2 linked regions of the Mytilus edulis genome follow. The protein of the gene in region 1 purifies or fractionates together with the protein of each later gene. This does not show direct contact. Links are inferred from orthologs where the notes say so. Each region holds a gene or a part of one and is shown in the gene's direction. Other genes may lie near its edges.

What was found.
Region 2: the proteins of serine/threonine-protein kinase Nek1-like (region 1) and cilia- and flagella-associated protein 410-like purify together in Homo sapiens (affinity purification with mass spectrometry; 3 studies listed by BioGRID and IntAct, with this or other methods). This does not show direct contact. The link is inferred for Mytilus edulis from reciprocal best matches to the Homo sapiens genes NEK1 and CFAP410.

What each region holds. Positions count from the first base shown.
Region 1 is NC_092351.1:3,606,514-3,618,723, forward strand, and holds the start of serine/threonine-protein kinase Nek1-like, read left to right. Parts: upstream 1-5,794; 5' UTR 5,795-6,038; coding exon 6,039-6,155; intron 6,156-10,224; coding exon 10,225-10,260; intron 10,261-11,579; coding exon 11,580-11,640; intron 11,641-12,055; coding exon 12,056-12,097; intron 12,098-12,210. Other genes in the region: NADH dehydrogenase [ubiquinone] 1 alpha subcomplex subunit 2-like, read right to left, coding at 1,119-1,225, 4,211-4,302. UniProt on the Homo sapiens protein: Phosphorylates serines and threonines, but also appears to possess tyrosine kinase activity. Involved in DNA damage checkpoint control and for proper DNA damage repair.
Region 2 is NC_092345.1:36,557,133-36,569,342, reverse strand, and holds the start of cilia- and flagella-associated protein 410-like, read left to right. Parts: upstream 1-5,895; 5' UTR 5,896-5,978; coding exon 5,979-6,076; intron 6,077-10,814; coding exon 10,815-10,880; intron 10,881-12,046; coding exon 12,047-12,210. Other genes in the region: proton-coupled zinc antiporter SLC30A2-like, read right to left, coding at 5,115-5,538. UniProt on the Homo sapiens protein: Plays a role in cilia formation and/or maintenance. Plays a role in the regulation of cell morphology and cytoskeletal organization. Involved in DNA damage repair.

The sequences.
Region 1 (12,210 bases):
TCAAATGACATTGTTTCATCTATACTATTAAACGAGAAGACCTCATTTTGTGTGTCGCTTCTCTTCCTTCCACAATAAATCAATCATCATGCCTCAGTGTCCTATAGGTAACATGCATAGTCGCATTTGTCATCCATTCTTATGGTTATTCAGATTGAGTTATTTTGGGAGAAAAACGACAAAAAAAAAGTCCGGATATGATTCCTTCATCAGACTAACTTTTAGTCATAGTTAAGACTTCCGGTTTGAAACATGCACAAATACAACCAATCGTATGAAAGATAACAAAAAATGAAAAATAAATAGGCCAATCAGAGCGTTCTCCATATCATGGTGTTTAGATCGCAAGAACAACAACTATTATACCTCCTTATAGAGGACAATCATCTACATGTAAACTACGATTATACTACATTTATATACAGAGACTCTCTGGTCTGTACGGGATCCGGGAATATATTTATCGATTTTGGGATTTCGGGATATTAATTTTTTAAATTCTGCATCTTGGGATTTCGGGATCAGGACCCATCCGACCACCCCTCAAATTAGCCTTAGTCAGTCTTAGTCACTTATACAAGATTCATATCCTACCATTGGCATGTTAATGCTCACAAAAGAAAAAGCACTGATGGATTGTCCTTGAAGCATATTTTATTAGACTTATAAAGGTCTATATATATAAGCAGTTACATTTATTTGATGTTTTGAAACGGAGCAAATTTTTAATTTGATTTGACTTTTTTGATTCTAGCGTCACTGATGAGTCTTTTATAGACGAAACGCGCGTCTGGCATAAGTGTAAAATTTTATTCCTGGTATCTATGATGAGTTTATTGACCAAAAAAAGTATTGTAGCAAAGGAGAAGAATAATTGTGGTCTGAGGCAAGAAACACGAAAATAATTGAATTTAACAGAAAGGAATCAAATATCTGACTTTGGAAAAAGGTAGAGCGCTTTTGATACCTTTTATGAAATTATCTTTTACAAAAAATCATCCTACAACAGTTCACAAGCTGTATATGCCCGCGATTTCGCGGGTGTGTTCTAGTATATATATATATCAAAAAAATAATCATGTACATGTATATTAAAGAAAACTAAAAAAATAACTAACCATATCTAGCATAGACTTTTGGTTGTACTCCACTACATTCTCTAATTAAAATAGGAAATTTAGGGTTACTCTGCTTAACACCAACATAGTAATTCTCTATGAACTCTCTGAAATAACAACATTAAAATATACAATGTATTACAACATATAAGTATATATTTTGATTTTCCTGTCATTGGAAAGTTACTTCACCTTATTCAATGTTTTGAATAGTAAAACATAATTTGTCACTGGACTTCAAGCAGTCAGGAACCTGTCATTCAGTTTATTGATGTGGTTCATATGAGTGGAATGGACTATCATTAGCATAAGGAAGAAATTAAATACCAGTCTAGTTATGAATTTTGACTTCATAAAATATTAACTTTATAGAATTTGACTTCATTAAATATTAACTTTTTAGAATTTAAACTATTCGTCAACCAAAAGTGAGATTCTACTGGACTTTTACAGATTCTTCAGATAAAAGTGTTTCTCAATTAAAAATTATCTTTTTTTATTGGACTGTGAATTTTTTTTACCCTGGTCATTTTGAGCCACTTTAATAGCTTGCTGTTCAGTGAAAGAAAAGGCTCTGTGTTGAGGGATGTACCAATAACTATTTTTTAGATTTGATAGATTTGTATATGACTTTCACATGTATGTGTATATTCAAATAAAAACGATGAGTCTTTGGTGTGGGACTTTGTCAAAGTCCATACCTGTTAAGTCTTTTTGAGTGTTAATACTGTTGATTTCTGAATTTGAAGCAACTTTTTGTACAAAGTCAAAGGACAGTAGTTGTGCAGGAGCGCATGATTTTCATTTGAAAATTGCTTGTCTCCACCAGGACTCGAACCTGGGACCTCTGTGTTACAAGTCAGCCTGTTAACAGACTGAGCTAAAGAAGAATTGAATCTGGGAACGTTCGCGCTCATTCACATTTGCTCCCTTTCACTCTCTCCCCCTACACATTTGCACCCTACATGTTTGCGCCCAATTTCTATTGGTTTTGTGTTCAATAACTTTGTAGTCATGATTTGGCAAGTGTATTCCTAATGGCTATAAGTATATTTGTTGTCATTGTCTCAAAATAAAGTGAGACAACGTTTCTTTTGTAATAAATAATTCTTAACCATGTTTTGGATAGTGTATAGTTAAAAAAATATATAGTTTCTAAATAAAATGAGATTCGACTAATTTTTTTGTTGTTGAATAAATTTTAATCTTTTTTGGTTCATTTGTGGTTAGTATATTGCTATAATTTTTTGTTTAATGATCGCTTTAGAACAAAGTGGTAAGCTGTTAAAAACAATTATCCTTTGTGTTTTTCTTTTAAATTTTTCAATGTTTTACTCATACAAAGCTAAATACATGCAGGTTTTACATCATATCAATTTAAAACAAGGCACTGGTTACGGTTACATGGAAATGTAACAATAATAAAATAATTATTGTTACATTGGAGACTTATTGCCAGAATACAGGATGGGGTACGGATCCGATTAATTACGAATGTAACAATAATATTTGTGTCTGCGGTTACATTGAGTTATTGTTGCATTACTGCACTTCAACGTACGGTAGATTAATTAAACTTAAACTAGCCTTCCCTAGTTTTGTTGCTTATTTTTTTCGCCAATTAAGAACAACGATTAACGAATGAATGTTGGCAACTGTTAACATTAATTGCATTCAAATTGACTTTTAAGTTTTATAAGTTTTTCAGCTATGCTAAGTTGGATATTGAAATCAGAGCGATGTGAACATAAAATCATATAATAATCCACAATAGTCATTCGTTAGTGCAGAATGGAATTGTACAGTATGCAATACTGACGTGCACATTGCTGCATCACTTGTATGTATAAAGGCTGCTTAGAGTGGTTTCACCAAAATACGTCGGACTAAAACATGCCCAAAAAACTGATACATTACTAGTCCCAGCGTACATTGAAGTGTATTTATGTAAAAATAACGCAATTAATGAAACCGTAGACTCAATTACTATTGTTAAATTCGTAATTAATGGGTTCCTTACCCAGCCCTGCATTCCGGCAATTAGTCTTCAATGTAACAATAATTATTTTATTATTGTTACATTTCCATGTAACCGTGTGAACATATATTATGGGGGAACTTATATTCTGTCACACACGTTCGCGCCCAATTTTAATTCAAATTCCAGTTGAATGATTGGAAAATCATGATTGTTGTTTTAAATTTGCTATGGTGTAAATACTGAATATATTTAGCTTGGTATGAGTAAAACATTGAAGATTTTAAATGAAAAACACAAATGATCATTTTTTTTAACAGCTTGGTCTCTTTGATCTGAAACAACATAAACAATGAAACAATAAAATATAGTAATGCACTATTATAACCAAAAAATGATCAAATTTATTCAACACCCCCCAAAAAAACGTCGTCAGAATCTCAATTTGTTCTGAAACAAGTCAATGCAACAAAGTTATTGCAATTCACCTAACCAAAACATGATTAAGAGTTGTTCAACACAAAATAAAACGTTGACAGAATCCCACTTTATTTAGAAAGGATTTTTATTTTTTTCAACAATACACTATCGATAACACGATTAAGATTTATTCAACGCACAAAAAAAAATGCTGTCTTACTTTATTTTGAGACAATGACAACAAATATACTTATAAGAATACACTTGCCAAAACTTGATTACAAAGTATTAAACACAAAACCAATTAAATTGGGCGCAAACCTGTAGGGTGCGAACGGACTTTGGGTGCGAAAATGAAAGGGGGCGAACATGAGTGGGTGTGAAAGTGAATGGGCGCGAACGGACCTGGATTCGGCTAACTTACAGTACTCAGTAGTACTAGTATCTACTACATTGTCTATGCCATGGAAACCTTCCTGGACGGGTATTTGATCGGCATTTCTCTCAAAACATTTAAACCCTGGTCATAGTATAAAGAACTTGTTCAATTACTTTAAAATGAAGATATTTTTGGTGAAGGTCACATTCTATTTTTCGTAAGTCTTTATAAAGAAATGCAATTTTGCAAGTGATTTTGCAAGATATGAGCAGCTTATGTTATTTTAAATATGAACTCATTATATTAGGTTCGAACCTGACACCCTGACTTGCTGTAGATTTCTGGCATAAATGAATTCTCAGCTCTTTTAAACTCTGTCCAAAGCGAAGTGCTTTAGCAGACGCCATTTTCAGCTGGTTTGTAAATGTAAGATGAAATGGTGAAACGAAGACAACTATTTTGGAAATATTTATTATATAAAATAAGTATAATGAGTATCAGAAATATTTGGTAAATCAAATAATTGATAGAGGCAGCGATATTGAATTTAGAAAGAATACTATTCTTTTACACATGTTACATTGTTATGTTCGTTTTTTATGAAAATCTTAAATTTGTATTAACGAAACTATGGATGATTTTGGGGTCTCACTAATTAGCGACAACAAGCGTCAAGAAGCGACAACAAGCGTCAACAAGCGACAAGAAGCGACAACACATATTATTTTAGCGACAACAAGCGACAAGAAGACTATTTAGCGACAATAAAACATTTTTTTTTTATTAGATATAAAGAAATTTGTATTTAATGGGTTTTTTAAATATACGAGCAGATATGTCTAATTAAAATGTTTTATTATATAGATAGACGAAGAAATGAAACATTTGTGAGAAAGAAAGAGATTGTGAAGTTTATATTTAAATAGTATATTGGTAGAAGAAGAAATTTGACTTTTGTGAAAAAGAAAGAGATTGAGCTTCTTTTTTTTATTTTTAAATATGAAGAATATGTATAAAATAATGTATGTATCTGTTTTCATCAAAGTCAAAGTATGAATAAACGAATGGAGATATATATGGAGCGGGCATAATAGAATATAATATTTTGATTCATTTGCTTAATACTATGCTCTAAGTGTACTCTTGTTATGTCAATTCGATGCTTTATTTGTAGAACTCTCAGCCACGCTTTGCCATCTTTATTATTTAAGCGTGTACAATAACATCCAATTAACACCGTCAACTTTGTACACGCGTCAGACTATACAATTACACGCGCCAGAATATACAATCATTGTAAATAGTGAACACCTGTTGAAAACTCAAGATTGTCATTAATTTCCTTTCATCTTCAATCAATATGCATAAACATGATAAATATCGTTTAATGAGGCAATAAACAAATAAAAAGATGAAAACATTCACATTTCAATTTTCTTTTCCTCCTGTTTGGTTTCAGTTCTTTGTATTTCACAATTTGTGTCAATATTTTCAGGACAATGATGCACAAGTAATTCATTTTGCGAGCTTAATACATATTGCACGAAAAGAGTTTTAAAAAACAAATTATAAGATAAATAATATGTTCTAAAACACAAGGAAAAGTAATCTCATAATACAATGATTAAACGTAATACTGGCTGTTATTCATAATAGATGATAAAATATTATGTAAATAATGTTTCATTTTTTTCTATCAATTTTAACTTTCTTGTCGCTAAAATTATTTTCTTTGCATATTCTTTTAAAATTCATTGCAATAATTAATTTTAATTACAAAAAAATGTTTTCTTGTCGCTAAATAGTTTCTTGTCGCTTGTTGTCGCTAAAATAATTCTTGTTGTCGCTTCTTGTCGCTTGTTGACGCTTGTTGTCGCTAAAATTCTTGTTGTCGCTAATTAGTGAGACCGTGATTTTGTACACTTCCGCTGAAATTCCACTTTTACGAAATATAATTTTACATCGAATATTTCAATGAAATGAATTTTTCTTTATAGTTGTACCCACCAAGACATTTAAACCAAATTCAATTTAGTTATATAACATACAGTTTTACATCATGGTCCATCAGAATTTTTTTAATTAATCTCAAGAAAATCGAAAGTAATGAAAGAAAAATAAATTTATCAAAAAGTAAATAAACATGGAAAAATACACCAAAATTAAAAGTATAGGCGAAGGAGCATTTGGCAAAGCATTGCTTGTGAGGGATAAAAGTAATGGTCAGCAGTATGTCGTTAAAGAAATTCAAATGTTGAGGGTACAGTATACATTTTAGCATGTGTCTTCTTCTTCTTCTTTCAGTACAGAGTCTGACTCTTCTTGAGTGTATAAATGACTCTTGCTCGTGAAATCATGAGACCTTCCCTCCTCACTTAATAAAAACTATTTACAGGAAAATTATTTACAAATAAAACTATGTACATCTGGGGTCAAAGGAGATCTAGGTGTGTGAAGCTCCTGTCAAGGCCTCTGGCAGGATGGTAAGGCTGGCCTTGAACTCTTCTAGTGGAATCCGGGTCTGTTCGCACCCAATCACGTTCGCACCCTTCCACATTCGCCCCCCACATGTTCGCACCCAAATTTTGCAAAAAGTTCGTTCGCACCCCACACGTTCGCACCCAATTTTACCGATTTTTTGGAGGTGTATTGGTATGAATATATATGCCATTGTTTCTAAATAATTCGAGATACTGACAAGTTTTTTTGTGTCATGACAAGATTATAAAAAAAAAGTCCTTGTTTTAAAGTCGGAGTGAGTTGAATAATTCTTAATCGTGTTTTGGTTAGTGTATTGAAATAATTTGTTTTTCACTGGTTCTAGTCAATTAAGTGCGAATCTGACAACATGTTGAACAACTGGTATGCTGCTGCTTTTATGCATGGTAAGTGTATTGCTATGATTAATATTTATTTTATTAGTATTTACATCAAAGCAATTTAGAACAACAATCATGATTTATAAACAACAGTAAACAATAACACCAATTAGGCTGTTTATAAATACCAACAGAGACATATAATACGTCTCTGATACCAATTAGCAATAATCATACATAATCAACATTTAATAATTAATCATCAGATTGATAAAAAAAAAATCTATTCAATAAATTCTCAAATTTTATTCAAATAGAATACAATTATTTGTTATATTCATATGAATAATTTCTAACAATTTAACTTAAATTTTATTAAAAATTGGGCGCGAACATGTAGGGTGCGAACGGACGTGGGGGGCGAAAATGTGAGGTGCAAACGTGTAGGGTGCGAAACTATATTGGGCGCGAACGGACCTGATACCCTTCTAGTGTAGCTGCTATTGTGGCTTTTTCCGGTAGAGTGTTCCATTCCCTGGTTGATCTTGGGAAGAAGGAGTACCTGTATTGGTCTTTTAGTGTGCGCTGTTGGTGTATGCGGTGGCCTCCTCTGGTTGTTGAATCTCCGGGTTTGTAATAATTAGAGGGGTCAATATCCACCAATCAATTGTGGATCTTGTATGCCATGGTGAGTCGGTCTTTGCAGCGGCGATCTTTAAGAGGCACCCATGTGTAGCGGGGTTGCTTCCCCTCCTTAGTACAAGTAGAACATATAAAGCCAGTCTTAATCAACTGAGCTAGGGAATCAATTCTTTGGCTCAATGGGTTAACTGACTATCACACAGGCGACTGGGGTTTGAATCCCAGTGGTGACGATATAAATTTGTAGAGTAGATACATTTGTACATGCTCTCCGGTTACACATGTTTAGTACACCAATCTAAGATTCTTTTTATGAATGAGTTGCAGTAGTTGTCCTTAAGTTCAAATGGTGTAAACAACTTAATTGAATAATTGGTTCCTACTTTGACCATTGACATAATAACATTAGCATTGTGGCAAAGAAAATAAAGGGGAAAGAGCACAAATTTGAAATTCGTCTGTTGAGTATTGACATTATCATGCACCATTAATCGCTATTTGTCCTTAATCACAAAGGTTTCTCCTAAATTTTGATGTCACGATAGATAATGTCTAGGACCACAAAGGAAAAGTGATTGTTGTATGACGTCTATCATGTCTATTCATGCTATTGTTCAAGTAATGAAGTGTCACTGATTCCGAAATATAAAAGTGATAAATTCTATTATATGTATTATCATGATTATACTTGTAATTTATAAAATTAAACTCCATGAGGTGTACCAACATGACCAACGCCTGTGTGAATCATTTCGATAGAGTCCCTGAAGTGGATACCTTGGTATGCAGGGTTGTCAAATGAATGCAACATTAAAATAATACACAAGGCAAGGTTGGAAGAGAAGCCTTGCGAAGTGGTAGGAACCATGGGAAGTTCGTCCAATTAGATACCAAGCCTTAGAACAATTTCATGTATCATATAATAGTAAAACAAACTCAAGTTACATTTTAAACAAACTTTAATTTTCTATATTTATCTTATCTATATATAACTCTGTATTGCTACTTTCACTTTTCATTGTTTCTCTCACCATGACGACGTCAAATTTTATGCACCACTTTGAGTACTTCAGGGATTAATTTCTGTATAAAAATTGTCCTGATGAAGCCTGCCTTGCAGGTGAAACATGTAGACCATAGCTAGGAAGAATCTTAGATTGGTGTATTTAAAAAAGGATATTAAAATTACAAAAGAGGGCTGCTAGATTAATACTAGAAACAGACCCATTCGCTCCTTCTGCACCCTTATTCAAACACTTAAACTGGATGACAGTTGAACAGAGAATAAAATATCATAAGTTAGTGATGACATTTAAGTGCATTAAAAATAATGCCCCATCATATCTTACTAACAAGTTTCATTATGTTTCAAACAGAAATCCATACCCCTTGAGAAATGCTGTTCAAGGAAACCTCATACTCCCTAAACCAAAAACAGAATTGTTCAAAAAATCTTTTATGTATTCTGGACCATTCTTGTGGAATAATTTGCCAATACCGTTAAGAAATATTACAAATGTTAATTCTTTCAAATACAAAATAACAGATCATTTATTGAAATCAACCTAGCTGTATCAATAATATTAAAAACTGATCATGTCATCATGTTTATTTTTTTTACATCACATTTTATCAAGTTGTACTAAACATAATTATCATACTTGACTTTTTATACTAATGTATGCAATGTATATGTTTGCATTTTGTTTGATTTCTCATGATGAGGGCCTCAGGGAAGATTAGTTATATAGCTAACTGTGTAACCCTCTTGAAATAAAGTATTGTTGTTGTTGTTGTTGTTGTTGTTATAGCAAACATGGCAAATAAAATTGAAGACGATTTGAAGTGTTGTTGTCAGTTTGGAGTACTATTGTAATTTATAAGATAATTTATTGTTGATGAGTATGTGCCAATGAAATTATTGTAGTTGTTAGAAAATTTACCATTGCATGATCATGATGATTATTCTGTCAATTTTAGATACATATTGTAATAACTAATAAAACAACAGAGAGGTTTGTGATATACATGTACATTGTATATTCATTTTACATTGAAATTAAAAAGATCCTTAGATGGTAGCGGTCAAGATCATCTCATTTAAGGTAGATCATAAGTAAATCTTTTTTGAGACAGAATTTTCTTATACTTAGCCATAATGAAGATTTTAATATGCTCTTTTCAAAAAAATAATAAAAAGTAGGGGTCACCGTGCTATTTTTCAAGCTATGAGTCGTTGAAAATTGCCTAAATTTGGTTAGATTGTTAATGGAAAAACACAATTGTGTGCATAAAAAATAATCTATGAGATAGAATTTTGAAATAAATTGTGAAAAGATAGGTTTTGTAATATGTTTTAAGAAAATAAAAAGAAAAAATGGTGTCACTGAACTTATTTTCTTGCTACAAGTAAAAAGAAAAAAATTACCTATCTGTCCAGTATAAATCTTTTACTAAAAGAGTTATCTTCCCTTAAATGGCTCATTTGAAAAAAATGATTCAAAAAGCAAAATAAAATGATATTTGTTTAATTATTTTGAATTATACAATAAATTGCCAAGTTTTCTTTATATTATTAAACAGTCTAACCATCAAATTGCAAATCTGTCTCCAAATTTGCAGATTTAGGCAAATAACTAGACCGATTTTTTACTGTGATTGTTCAATCCAAGATGGCGGTATACCATCAATCTACCTTAAGCTAGTCTTGAAGACAACCACTGTTGGTGGCATGTAGTATAGTGTTCCAGTGTAAAGTTGTACATGGGTTAAAAGATTCTTTCTTCTGTTCTAAAATAAAAAGAACTGTCTATTATCATGATTATAAAAGTTAAATTCATATGTTAATAACTTTCTTTGTTTCCTCAGATGAAAGCAAAGGAAAGAGAAGATGCTAGAAAGGAGGTAACTATCTTTACTATGTTTACAAAAGTTGTTTGTCTCTATAAAAAAACATATTCATAAATCTTGAATTCATTTATATCAAACATGTCATATATATATGGTCTGCCAAACATACAATTTATTTGTTAAAATATTCAGATATATACAGCTGTAGCTACAATTTGTCAATCCAGTAGTTGTAAATTTTGTCTGTTTTCTACAAAGTAATCTCTCAGAATTGCCAACAGCCAATGATAGCTATTCCCTCACTGTAGTGAAGGTGTCATTATGTTTTACCCTTGTTAGTCTGTCCGCTGTCCTTTCTGCTCTAAAACCTAAGTTTGCCTCAATCAAATACACAATGTTGATTACCACCAAACACAGATCATGTTTGAATTTTGGTGATGTCACTTTTACTTTTCTATAGTTATGGTCTTTACAAATAAAAAAAATTCTGAATTTTTCATTTCTCTTATTTCATGTATTTAAGCCTGTTAATTATATACATGTAAGTGTGCCTCAATAAAATGGTATGAATCTTATATACAATGCTTATTACAATACCACAATACACAGATCAAATTTGATTTAGGGTGATGTCACTTTAACTTTCTAGAGTTATGCCCCTTCACAAATGGAAAAATTTCTGAATTTTTCTTGTTTCCTTTCTCAACCAAATGTTAGGAAACTTATATGCACAATGCTTATTACCACTAAACTCAGATCAAGTAGGAATTTGGGTTGTGTCACTTTTACTGAACTTAAGTTATGTTATTTTATAAAGTTATATGAAAACATTTGCCATTTATTTAGTATATATGCGAATGCAGCCATGGAACTCCTATTCAATTTTTATAATTTATTGTTATTTTCATATAATATTATAGGGTTATTGCAAGAATATTGGGGAATATTGTCCTGAGTAGAATTTTATATTGCACGAGCTTGCAAGTGCAATATATGTTCTACGAGGGACAATATTCCCTATTATTCATGCAATAACCCTTTTATTGCATAGCAATATAATATTTGAAGTAAAAATTGGTTTAAAGTAAGATTTTGTCGTTGATGACATCATGATTTTTGAAGATTTATTGCATGAGTGCAATATTAGAATTTATTGTGCGATAAATGTTGGTTACTTTCTGTGGGAAATATATTGCTATGCAATTAATATAATTACTTAAATTCATGAATTTTGAACATTTATTGATGTGTTTGTTGATCAATGAACAAACGATGAGGTATTCACTCATCATGCTAATTCATGTGTTCATTTATATGATGTTTATTTTGACACTTTCCTAAAAATATCTTAGTTTAACTATTTTTGATGACAGGTTTCAGTACTGGCCCAGTTACATCACCCAAATATTGTACGATACAGAGAATCTTTTGAAGGTAAGTTTATTTTATCTGTATGGCATTTTTGAGATATTTTTATCGGTACAATATATTCAAAACTGGCATAATTGCCAGAATCTGCTTTAGTATATCTATTTTTTTTTAATAAAGTTTATTAAGGGGTGGCAATGTATATTTATCATGTTTATCATTACAATACATATTGTGATATTCATGGATATGGTTTTCCCATTTGAATGGTTTTACACTAGTAATTTTTTGGGGCCCCTTATAGCTTGTTCTGTGTGAGCCAATGCTCTGTGTTGAAGACCATACCTTGACCTATAATGGTTAACTTCTATTGTTATGATCAATTAATTAGTGGGGTTATTGTTTCCCATTGTACTGATTGTAGTAATAACTTATATTAAATAGCATCTTACTGCAATATTTTCTTATTTTTATTTTTCAGAAAAGGGGTATTTACATATTGTTATGGACTTTTGTGAGAAAGGTATGTTTTAATGAAGCTTGTGAAATATAATAAGTCTTTCTGTGTGTTCATGATATGATGAAATTTTACATGTAAACAACTCATACTCATTTGTTCAATGAACATGTTGCACT
Region 2 (12,210 bases), on another chromosome or scaffold:
GTACATCAAATATATACAAACTACTTATTGGAGTATTATAACTATGTTATGGAGTTAGAATAGCTTGAATTTTTGAAAATCATGGTCTATAGAAGGGGGTTCAATATACCGCAGGGGGGTCAAAATACCATGGCTAAGTAAAATTTTCAAAATATCTTTTCCAGTATATTAAATACATACAAACTACTTATTGGAGTATTATAACTATGTTAAGGAGTTAGAATAGCTTGAATTTTTTAATGCAAGGTCTATAGTAGGGGGTTCAATATACCGCAGGGGGTTCAAAATACCATGGCTAAGTAAAATTTTCAAAATATCTTTTCCAGCATGTTTAACACATACAAACCACTTATTAGAGTATTATAACTATGTTAAGGAGTTAGAATAGCTTGAATTTTTGAAATTCAAGGTCTATAGTAGGGGGTTCAATATACCGAAGGGGGGTCAAAATACCATGGCTACATGTAAGTAAATTTTCAAAATATCTTTTCCAGTACATCAAATATATACAAACTACTTATTGGAGTATTATAACTATGTTATGGAGTTAGAATAGCTTGAATTTTGAAATTCAAGGTCTATAGTAGGGGGTTTCAATATACCGCAGGGGGGGTCAAAATACCATGTCTAAGCAAAATTTTCAAAACATCTTTTCCAGTATATCAAATATATACAAACTACTTATTGGAGTATTATAACTATGTTATGGAGTTAGAATAGATTGAATTTTTGAAATTCAAGGTCTATAGTAGGGGGTTCAATATACCGCAGGGGGGTCAAAATACCATGGCTAAGTAAAATTTTCAAAATATCTTTTCCAGTATATTAAATACATACAAATTACTTACTGGTGTATTGTAACTATGTTAAGGAGTTAAAATAGCTTGAATTTTTGAAATTCAAGGTCTATAGTAGGGGGTTCAATATACCGCAGGGGGGTCAAAATACCATGTCTAAGCAAAATTTTCAAAACATCTTTTCCAGTATATCAAATATATACAAACTACTTATTGGAGTATTATAACTATGTTATGGAGTTAGAATAGATTGAATTTTTGAAATTCAAGGTCTATAGTAGGGGGTTCAATATACCGCAGGGGGGTCAAAATACCATGGCTAAGTAAAATTTTCAAAATATCTTTTCCAGTATATTAAATACATATAAATTACTTACTGGTGTATTGTAACTATGTTAAGGAGTTAAAATAGCTTGAATTTTTGAAATTCAAGGTCTATAGTAGGGGGTTCAATATACCGCAGGGGGGTCAAAATACCATGGCTTAGTAAAATTTTCAAAATATCTTTTCCAGTATATTAAATACATACAAACTACTTACTGGTGTATTGTAACTATGTTAAGGAGTTAAAATAGCTTGAATTTTTGAAATTCAAGGTCTATAGTAGGGGGTTCAATATACCGCAGGGGGGTGAAAATACCATGGCTAAGTAAAATTTTCAAAATATCTTTTCCAGTATATTAAATACATACAAACTACTTATTGGAGTATTATAACTATGTTATGGAGTTAGAATAGCTTGAATTTTTGAAATTCAAGGTCTATAGTAGGGGGTTTCAATATACCGCAGGGGGGTCAAAATACCATGTCTAAGCAAAATTTTCGAAACATCTTTTCCAGTATATTAAATACATACAAACTACTTATTGGAGTATTATTACAATGTTAAAAGTTAGAATTGCTAGAATTTAAAAAAATTTAAGGTCTATAGTAGGGGTTTCAATATACCATGGACATGATGGAAGGGGGGTCAAAATACCATGGCAAAGTAAAATGTTCAAAACATCTTTTATCATGTTCAATACATACAAACTACCTATTGGAGTATTATTATGATGTTAAGGAGTTAGAATAGCTTGAATTTTTGAAATTCAAGGTCTATAGAAGGGGGTTCAATATACCACAGGGGGGTCAAAATACCATGGCGAGGTATGTATTAAACTTGTTGGAAATGATATTTTGAAAATTTTACTTTGCCATGGTATTTTGACCCCCCTGCGGTATATTGAACCCGCTACTCTAGACCTTTAATTAAAAAAATTCTGGCAATTCTAACTTTTTTATGTAGTTAGAATACACCAATAAGCAGTTTGTATGTATTAAACTTGCTGGAAAAGTTATTTTGAAAATTTTACTTTGCCATGGTATTTGGACCCCCCTGCCGTATATTGAACCCCCTACTCTAGGCCTTTGATTTCAGAAATTCTGGCAATTTGAACTTTTTTATGTAGTTAGAATACACCAATAAGTAGTTTGTATTTATTAAACTTGCTGGAAAAGATATCTTGAAATTTTACTTTGTCATGGTTTTTTGACCCCCTGCGATATATTAAACCCCTTTCTAATAGACAATTAAAAAAAATCTGGCAATTTTAACTCTTATATGTAGTTAATATACACACACAAGTAGTTTGTATGTATTAACTTTGATGGAAAAGATATTTTGAAAATTTTACTTTGCCATGGTATTTTGACCCCCTGCGGTATATTGAACCCCTCACTCTAGACCTTTAATTTAAAAAGTTCTGGCATTTCTAACTTTTTTATGTAGTTAAAATACACAAATAAGCAGTTTGTATGTATTAAACTTGCTGGAAAAGTTATTTTGAAAATTTTACTTTGCCATGATATTTTGACCCCCCTGCGGTATATTGAACCCCTCACTCTAGACCTTTAATTTTAAAAGTTCTGGCATTTCTTACTTTTTTATGTAGTTAAAATACACAAATAAGTAGTTTGTATGTATTAAACTTGCTGGAAAAGTTATTTTGAAAATTTTACTTTGCCATGGTATTTTGACCCCCCTGCGGTATATTGAACCCCCAACTCTAGGCCTTTAATTTCAGAAATTCTGGCAATTTGAACTTTTTTATGTAGTTAGAATACACCAATAAGTAGTTTGTATTTATTAAACTTGCTGGAAAAGATATTTTGAAATTTTACTTTGTCATGGTTTTTTCCCCCTGCGATATATTGAACCCCTTACTAATAGACAATTAAAAAAATCTGGCAATTTTAACTCTTATATGTAGTTAATATACACACACAAGTAGTTTGTATGTATTAACTTTGATGGAAAAGATATTTTGAAAATTTTACTTTGCCATGGTATTTTGACCCCCTGCGGTATATTGAACCCCTCACTCTAGACCTTTAATTTAAAAAGTTCTGGCATTTCTAACTTTTTTATGTAGTTAAAATACACAAATAAGCAGTTTGTATGTATTAAACTTGCTGGAAAAGTTATTTTGAAAATTTTACTTTGCCATGATATTTTGACCCCCCTGCGGTATATTGAACCCCTTACTCTAGACCTTTAATTTCAGAAATTCTGGCAATTTGAACTTTTTTATGTAGTTAGAATACACCAATAAGTAGTTTGTATTTATTAAACTTGCTGGAAAAGATATTTTGAAATTTTACTTTGTCATGGTTTTTTCCCCCTGCGATATATTGAACCCCTTACTAATAGACAATTAAAAAAATCTGGCAATTTTAACTCTTATATATAGTTAATATACACACACAAGTAGTTTGTATGTATTAACTTTGATGGAAAAGATATTTTGAAAATTTTACTTTGCCATGGTATTTTTACCCCCCTGCGGTATATTGAACCCCTTACTATAGACCTTTAATTTCAGAAATTCTGGCAATTCGAACTCTTTTATGTAGTTAGAATACGCAAATAAGTAGTTTGTTTGTATTTTACTTGCTGGAAAAGATTATTTGAAAATTTTACTTTGCCATGGTATTTTGACCCCCCTGCGTTTATTGAACCCCCTACTCTAGGCCTTTAATTTCAGAAATTCTGGCAATTCGAACTCTTTTATGTAGTTAGAATACGCAAATAAGTAGTTTGTTTGTATTTAACTTGCTGGAAAAGATATTTTGAAAATTTTACTTTGCCATGGTATTTTGACCCCCCTGCGGTATATTGAACCCCCTACTCTAGGCCTTTAATTTCAGAAATTCTGGCAATTCTAACTCTTTTATGTAGTTAGAATACACAAATAAGTAGTTTGTATGTCTTTTACTTGCTGGAAAAGATATTTCGAAAATTTTACTTTGCCATGGTATTTTGACCCCCCTGCGGTATACTGAACCCCCTACTCTAGGCCTTTAATTTCCAAAAAATCTGGCAATTCTAACTCTTTTATGTAGTTAGAATTCACCAATAAGTAGGTTGTATGTATTTAACTTGCTGGAAAAGATATTTTGAAAATTTTACTTTGCCATGGTATTTTGACCCCCTCCCCCTTTTTTTACCACGGAAAATCAAAACTACCCTTCTATATATATATATATACATAAGTTATAATTACAAATAATTAAAGCATTCAAGCTACATATGGTCTAGTTATAATGTGTCAATAAGTATTTTGAATGACATTTTGTTGGTAAAGACTTCAGAGCACTTATACCAAGCAAAGATATTTCTTTTAATTAAGCATGGAAAATGTACCTCCCCTTCTTGTATGAATGATTTTTTAATCTATGATAAGCTTTAGAATAATGTAAAATGTTCTAATATTCATCTAGGATGAAAAAAACAGGGGGGTTCAATTTACCATGGGGGTTCAATTTTCCATACAGGGGGGGGGGGTTCAATTTACCATGGGGGGGTTCAATTTACCATAGCGGTATTTTGACCCCGGGGTCAATTTACCATGGGGTTCAAAATACCATATGACACCGGTGCCCTACATTTTGTACATACATTTGTACATGAATATTTGTTCTTTATGTCATGTTGTGCCAGCTGTTAATAATGTATTAATTAATTCTCCATCAGCTGGACTCATGTGCATACATTTGTACATGAACATGTACATAAAAAAAATTTCTCATGTTTTATAAGAATATAGGAAACTATAAAAACCAGATGCTCCGCAGGGCACAGCTTAATACGACCGCAGAGGTCAAACCCTGAATAGCAAGTATGGACACAACATTCAAGCTTGATACAGCTCTGAATTTGGATTGTAATTAAGTAGTTGACACAGCAGACTTAGGTTTCTGAAACAGAATGAATGTGATCTACATGTACAAATGTACTAGACTAAAGAGGGTATAGTGCTAATTTAGAATACAAACCAACAGCTTCTCCAATCATGAACATTACACAAAGGGTACAAACAGCAATCAACTGATTTCTTGCAGTTTTGTCATTGTTATTGTTATCATTGTTATGGCAGTGCCATTGGTCCAACAATGGGCTGTCACTGTCCGACCGATCAAACTGGACTGGGACAGCCAATCGTTCTTCATGGTTTGAAATACTCTCTCGACCAAAGCTGGAGTAGCTATTACCAAGGTCAGATATATTGTCATGATCTTGATTGTCTGGAATGTGGTTTATAGAATTTGTGTTGGAAGATTCCTTTTCTGTTTGAGAAGGTTGGAAATCCACTAATAATTCTGATGTTAATGACACTGTGTTATTGTGAGTTGATTGGTAATGATTATGGTCTTTGTTTCCACCCTCAGCAACATCATTGTAGTTGCTTACGTGAGTCATCACAGTATCCAAGTCAAATATTCATATCAATCTGACATATATATTCAATTTCGTGACAGTCCTACAGGAAGTGTTGATTTAATGTGTATGTCATGTGATTTCTTAAAAAAGAAAGTCTGAAGACCGAAATGAAGTGTGTTCAAAAAGTAAAATCAAGATTCACAATTGTTTTACTCTCTATATATATTATAGTTATATTTTTTATTTAGTGTGTTATCCAGTTGATTTATTTATAAATACATGCATATGATATGGTATAATTATCAACGCGTAAATAGACTAAAAACAATAAATAAGAAAAATTATATCCGGAATTTGTTCGTGTCTTTTCGATGACAAATCGACTTTGTAGTTTATTATTCGAATTTCCGTTTCAGTTGTGAGGATAAACAATTTTTCTTTAAACAGTTGAATCCTTTGTTCAATGTTTTAGAAAAGAAATGGAATGTGAATATACCAAAGACAGATTAAGTGAAGCACTTGTCCTCGCAAGAACTAGAGCAACTGATTTTGAAAGCGTGAAAAAGCTCAACTTTTGGTATTTTTTTAATTATTTTTAAACATGATGAGTGATGAGTTGAAATGATGATTGGGGGGGGGGGGGGGGGGGCTAGAGGGGGTCTCATCCCGATTTCCCGGTTTTAATATCAGAAAATCCCGAAATCCCGGACATATTTTGTTAAAAATCCCGATCCCGATAAGCAAGAAATCACCATTTATTTAATAAAGAGGTCCTCCACTATTTAAGATAACGAATAGAAACATCTGACACAACTTTTAAAGGAGGCTGTCCTGGTAAACTTTAAAAATTAACCCCTTTGAGTAATGTTGTTCTTAATTATTTGCTTTCAATTTGTGCATTTTGACCAATATATTTAGTACGTACAAATGTACATTTTAAACACGTCAAGTTGGGGTATTTGTTTTCTTCAAAATTAATTGCAGAATGCCAGAAATATTTTTATATAATATTCGATTATAGAGAAGACTGTGTCTGTTAAATTAGATGTGTAGTAAAAAGGCGAAGAAAAAAATACATGTGTTTCAGGTAACATCCCCTAAAAAAATAGGATCGGTAGGAAAGCAAAATAGTTTTTTTTTAAACGTTTTTGACTGGTTCATATGGTAGAAAAATTCTGACTTAACAAGTGCTTGTCCACATAACATCCAATAACCTTTTGAGAGTAGAGTTAGATTATAGGTACTTAAAATTAGGGTAGATATATATATGGGGGCATATGTGTTTTCTTTTAGGTCTTACTCTTATTGAAAATATCCAAATCAAGAAATATCCAAATCAAGTCTAACTTTTGGGAAGGGTTGTAAAGAGGTGTTATGTTCACGGACAAACGCGAAATAAAATTCCAATTTCACGATGAACGAAAAAATTTTAAAAAATGCTTGCACGTTGCCGTTTTTACTAATTTCACAGTAAAGCAAAAACTTTTTTCACGGAAGGTTGTGAATTAAAAATGGTAAAACACGTTGCACGAAAAAAACCTTTACCACACTCTTTGGGTATACTGATACTCTAAATCAGAGCAACACTAATACCAAGGAGCTTAGACATTTATCATGAATTTTGGTTAGCATTTCATTCGCGTACAGTGGATATTAAATATGGCACTCAAAAAAACAAAAATAACAATAAGATCTGGATCTACTCTGTTTCTAGATACGATTCTGATTGAAGTATAATGAAGGGAGTGGCTATTTTGCCGGCTCTGGCAAAATAGCCTCTTAGGTGCTATGTTACCGGCTCTGGCAAAATAGCCTCCTTGGCGCTATTTTGCCGGCTCCGGCAAAATAGAGATTCAATTAGAGTTTTGCTATTTTGCCTGTCCTATTTCAGATTTTTAATCAAGATGATATGAAATATATTTTTTAAGGAAACTATTTATGCACAAATGATATATGTGGCTAGATGTCAAGAACAATTTAATGTTCGCCTTGCATTCCTGGTCAGTTAAATTCGGAGAACTCTACTCATTTAATTACATGTACATACGTTAATTTCTGTTGAACATTAAACGTTCAAAATAGAAAACAACAAAATGTGATGTTATAAAACAAACTTGATTTTCGACAGATATGAAAAGCTTCAGCAGGTTTTAGAGCAATTTGAAAACGACAACTATGTGTAACTGAGGAATTGTGAAACGAGGACTACAAAAATCATGAAAACCAGATAAAAAGATTAATACAAAAAAATTATTGTACACACAATGCATAGAAATCTAGCCATTGACAGCATTTGTTTTATGATTTTATGAATGCTGAAAACTAAAATGTATATTAATTATCTGCATTTCAGTCTGCAAAAGTGATGCAGACGCAAAAGAAACAGGTTTAGTAACGCTCATCGAGCAGTTTGAAATTGTTGGGTGTTACTTTTTGTTTCAAAACTAATATAATTTTTTTATTAAAAGTTTTAATCAGAATGTCTATTTTTTTTTATGGGTTTGTATGCTTTTCTTATGTGTATTTATTATATAAGAAATATATTTTAGTCTTCCTATCAAAGAAATAAGTACTAGTATCAATTTAAATGTTTTGCTTTATTTTAGACTTCCTATTAAAGAAAAAAGTACTACATGTAGTATCAATTTTGATATTTATGTTTTTCTTTTTTCAATATTTGAAAAATACACATTTTTAGAGACTACTTATTCTAAAAGTAAAGAATGTCAATTTAAATAAATTTTTAAAGAAGACATTTTAGTATAGAGATTCCTTATTAAAGTGTATGTTTCTATCTTTTTTTCTATTCTTAATTTCTATACTTATATTAAAATCTTAGTTAAGACCGGCAAAATAGCAAAACTCTATGTAAATCACTATTTTGCCGGAGCCGGCAAAATAGCGCCAAGGAGATGATGAAAATGGCACTTTTATCTGTCCAAGGTACAGTTTTTTGTCAATCCCATTATATTTCAACATAAAAATCCCGATTTCCCATGGCTAAAAACGTGGGTTTCCCGTATCCCGATGATTTTCTATCCCGAATTCCCGATCTTTAAACAAGGCAATCCCAATTTCCCGATGATTTTCTATCCCGAATTCCCGATCTTTAAACAAGGCAATCCCAATTTCCCGTTGATAAAATTGGCCAATCCCGGCGTCCCGAAAATGGTCTAGCCCCCCCTCATGATTCAATTTAAATTAAAGTTAGAATCACACACCCAAAAGTTCTCACTGCAAGAAACATACAACAAATATTTTTTTTTAAATCTACCATTTTTCTTCTTAAAAACTATGGAGAGAAAGAAAAGGAAAGATTTTGTACATGTGTATCTTATGGGTCACTTTAGCTGCGGAACCGTAGCTCTTAGGACCTAAGAGCTACGGTTCCGCAGCTAGGGTCACTTAGTCCAAATAATTATGACGTCTTGAAAGGCTATTATATTTTTTTTATTTGACGCCTTACTTCGACGTAAGGCGTCAAAGAAAAAAATTATAATAACCTTTCAAGATGTCAATTATTTGGACTAATGGGTCACTGTGAAAACTGTCTAAATAGCCTCACGGGACACAATTACAAACGATTTTTTAACTGTGATTAAAAAAATTTGGGATCGTTTAATGGTACGATGTCATCGTCGTTGTCTACGTTGCGTCGTCCGAAGACACTTTGGTTTCCGAATAATAACTTTAGTTAAAGTAAATAGATCTTTATAAAAAAAATTCAGAAGGTTCAATACCACAAAATGAAGGTTGGGATTTATTTTGGGGATGATGGTTCCAACCATTTAGGAATTAGGGGCCCAAAAGGGTCCCAAAACAAGCATTTTTTCTAGTTTCAGGATAATTACTTGTGTACAAGTATTTCAATTGCTCTGAAATTATATCACAATGTTTAAAACCACAAGTAGAAGGTTTGGATTCATATTCAGGGTTATGGGGCCAAAGTTTAGGAATTAAGGGCCAAAAAGGGGCCAAAACAAGCATTGTTCTAGTTTCCAGACAATAACTTGTGTGTACTTGTATGGATCTCTGTGAAATTGTACCACAATGTACAATATAACAAAGAGGAGGCTGGGATTAAGTTTTGGGTTAATTGCCCAAAATATGTAGGATTTAGGGGCCTAAAAAGGGCCAAAAAGAAGCATGTTTCTAGTTTCCAAACAATCATGACGATAACTTGTGTTTAAGTGTATGGATCTTTCTGAAATTGTACTACAAGGTTCAATACTACAAAAGAAAGCATGGGATTGAGTTTAAGGGTTATTACTCCAATGGGGGTTTCAAAAAGTGGGGGGTGCGGATTTTTTGTTTACCATTTTTAAAGGGATTCCTTTTTTTTCAAAAATTTTCAAATTTTAAATTTTGAAAAGTTTCAAGAAGAAATATTCAATTGCACAGTATTGTGCAATAGATTTGTTAGATCTTTGACCACATTAATTTTGTGACAAAAACCCATATTATGTAAAAAAAAAAATTGATCACAATCCAAATTCAGACAGTATCAAGCTTGAATATTGTGACCAAATTTGCCCCCACTGTTCAGGGTTCGACCACTGGGGTCGTATATAGCTGCGCCCTGCGGAGCACCTAGATAAAAATAATTGTTTGTTATGAAAAAACGTTACCTGATGACAGCGTTTCATTGTTCAAGCGCTATCATTGGTCAAGAGTAATGTATTTTCAGAATGTATGTAACTTTAATCAACCGATAGATGGCCCAACATTGTTAATACAAATATTGGCTTAATCTGCCAAGGATGGAGTGCAGGGGAGTAGATTGTAACACTTGGCTAGTGAAGAGGCATACATGTATGAAATCAACTGTTCAGTCAAATATTTAGTATAAAAAATAAGATTTGGTATTATTGACAATGAGACAGCTCTTCAAAAGAAATCAAAATGACACAGAAATTATCAACTATACATGTACATTGTAGGTTACAGTATGGCCTTTCAATAATGATTAAATCTATACTGCATATACATAAATTTGTAGTCAGCTATAAAAGGCCATGAAATTACAAATGTAAAACAATTCAAACGAGAAAACTAACAATTTTATGTACAAAATAGTGAATGAAAAACATATGTAACACAGCAACAAGCAACATCCACTAAATTACAGGCTCCTGACTTTTATAAAACAACAAAATTTATATAGCATTGATAACGGTTCATATACATGAAAATTGATATAACATTAAATTTATTGTTTTTAATAAAGTCAGGTCATTCATCAGCATGATCATAACATTAAAGAATTGTGTGCATTTCGTGTATTTATGACATTTACATAGTTTTATTTTTTACAGGGGTTCAGGAATTAGAGATGTGAGTGTTGTGAAGAAACTTCCAAATTTAGAAGTATGTAGCTTAAGGTAGGCCATATTTCCTATCTATAAAAAGACTTGTTAAAGTACTAACACAAAAACAGGGGTGGTGTTCTGGAAAATATCCTAAGATTCATCCTACATATAGGACACATGGATCCTTATACCAATGTTAGGATAGACTCTTAAGTTTCATTGCATGTTAATCTTCACATAACCATTTAACATGATCTTAGGACACTTAATTTCGGAGTCCTAAAGTTAGGAGGGAAGATGCAATATCTTAAGTTAAGAGATGGTTGAGAACATGAAATACATGTAGGACAAAGATGTGTCTGCCATAAGATGATCTTAAAACACATGCTACAATGTAATCCTAAGATACATTTGTAGTTTCAAGATCACCACCCTATTATAAATTAAAGCTAGATTTTCAAGATTTTTGAATTAAAATCTACATGTACTGTGAGTAATATTGAATCTGACAGTGATTTAAAATGTTATGTTGTTTTGACAACAATGAACCTATAATGGTTTTTTTTTTATCTTTTCAATGACACTTGCTTAAGCCAGCAGGTGTAAATGTGGTCTTTGATCAATGTAAAAATTATAAATAATGAAATTCATTTTGTGTACTGTTTATTGTCATGCTGTTGTCAATTGATACATTAGATACAAGAAGATGTGGTATGAGTGCCAATGAGAAACCTCTACATCCTATTCGCAATTTGTGAAAGTAAACCATTATAGGTCAAAGTACATTCTTTAACGCAGAGCCTTGGCTTCCACAGAATAGCAAGCTATAGAGGGCCCCAAAATGACTAGTGTTAAACCATTCAAACAGGAAAACCAATGGTCTAATCTATATATAAAAAACGAGAAACAAGAACTTTTAAGTTGGAATGTCTCTTTAGAATGTGTTGCCTCTCTTTCTCTTATGATTGTTAAAAAGCTTTGAATATAATAATTTGAATACTAAATATAGCTGAAATAATGATCGGCACAATAAGGGACAAATGCCTATTAAATCCATTTCTGGGGTTCATAAATCCTGTATCCAATTGGTGAAATCTGACGTTAATGCATTTTTCAAATGCATTTTTTTTTTTATTAATTTTATTGGTTTTCAAAGACAATTCAAGTATAGACCTATCATTAAAATGAAATTGTTTGTATGTTTTATTAATAAATTAGCTTCTTATAATTCTTTGCAGTGTGAATAACATATCAACATTGGAGGACTTTTCAGAATGTGAAAATCTTAGGGAAATATTCATTAGAAAAAATAAGATTGAAGATTTATCAGAAATTTGTCACTTAAAGACATTGCCAAACTTGAAGAATTTATGGTTGGCAGACAACCCATGTGATCAGACAG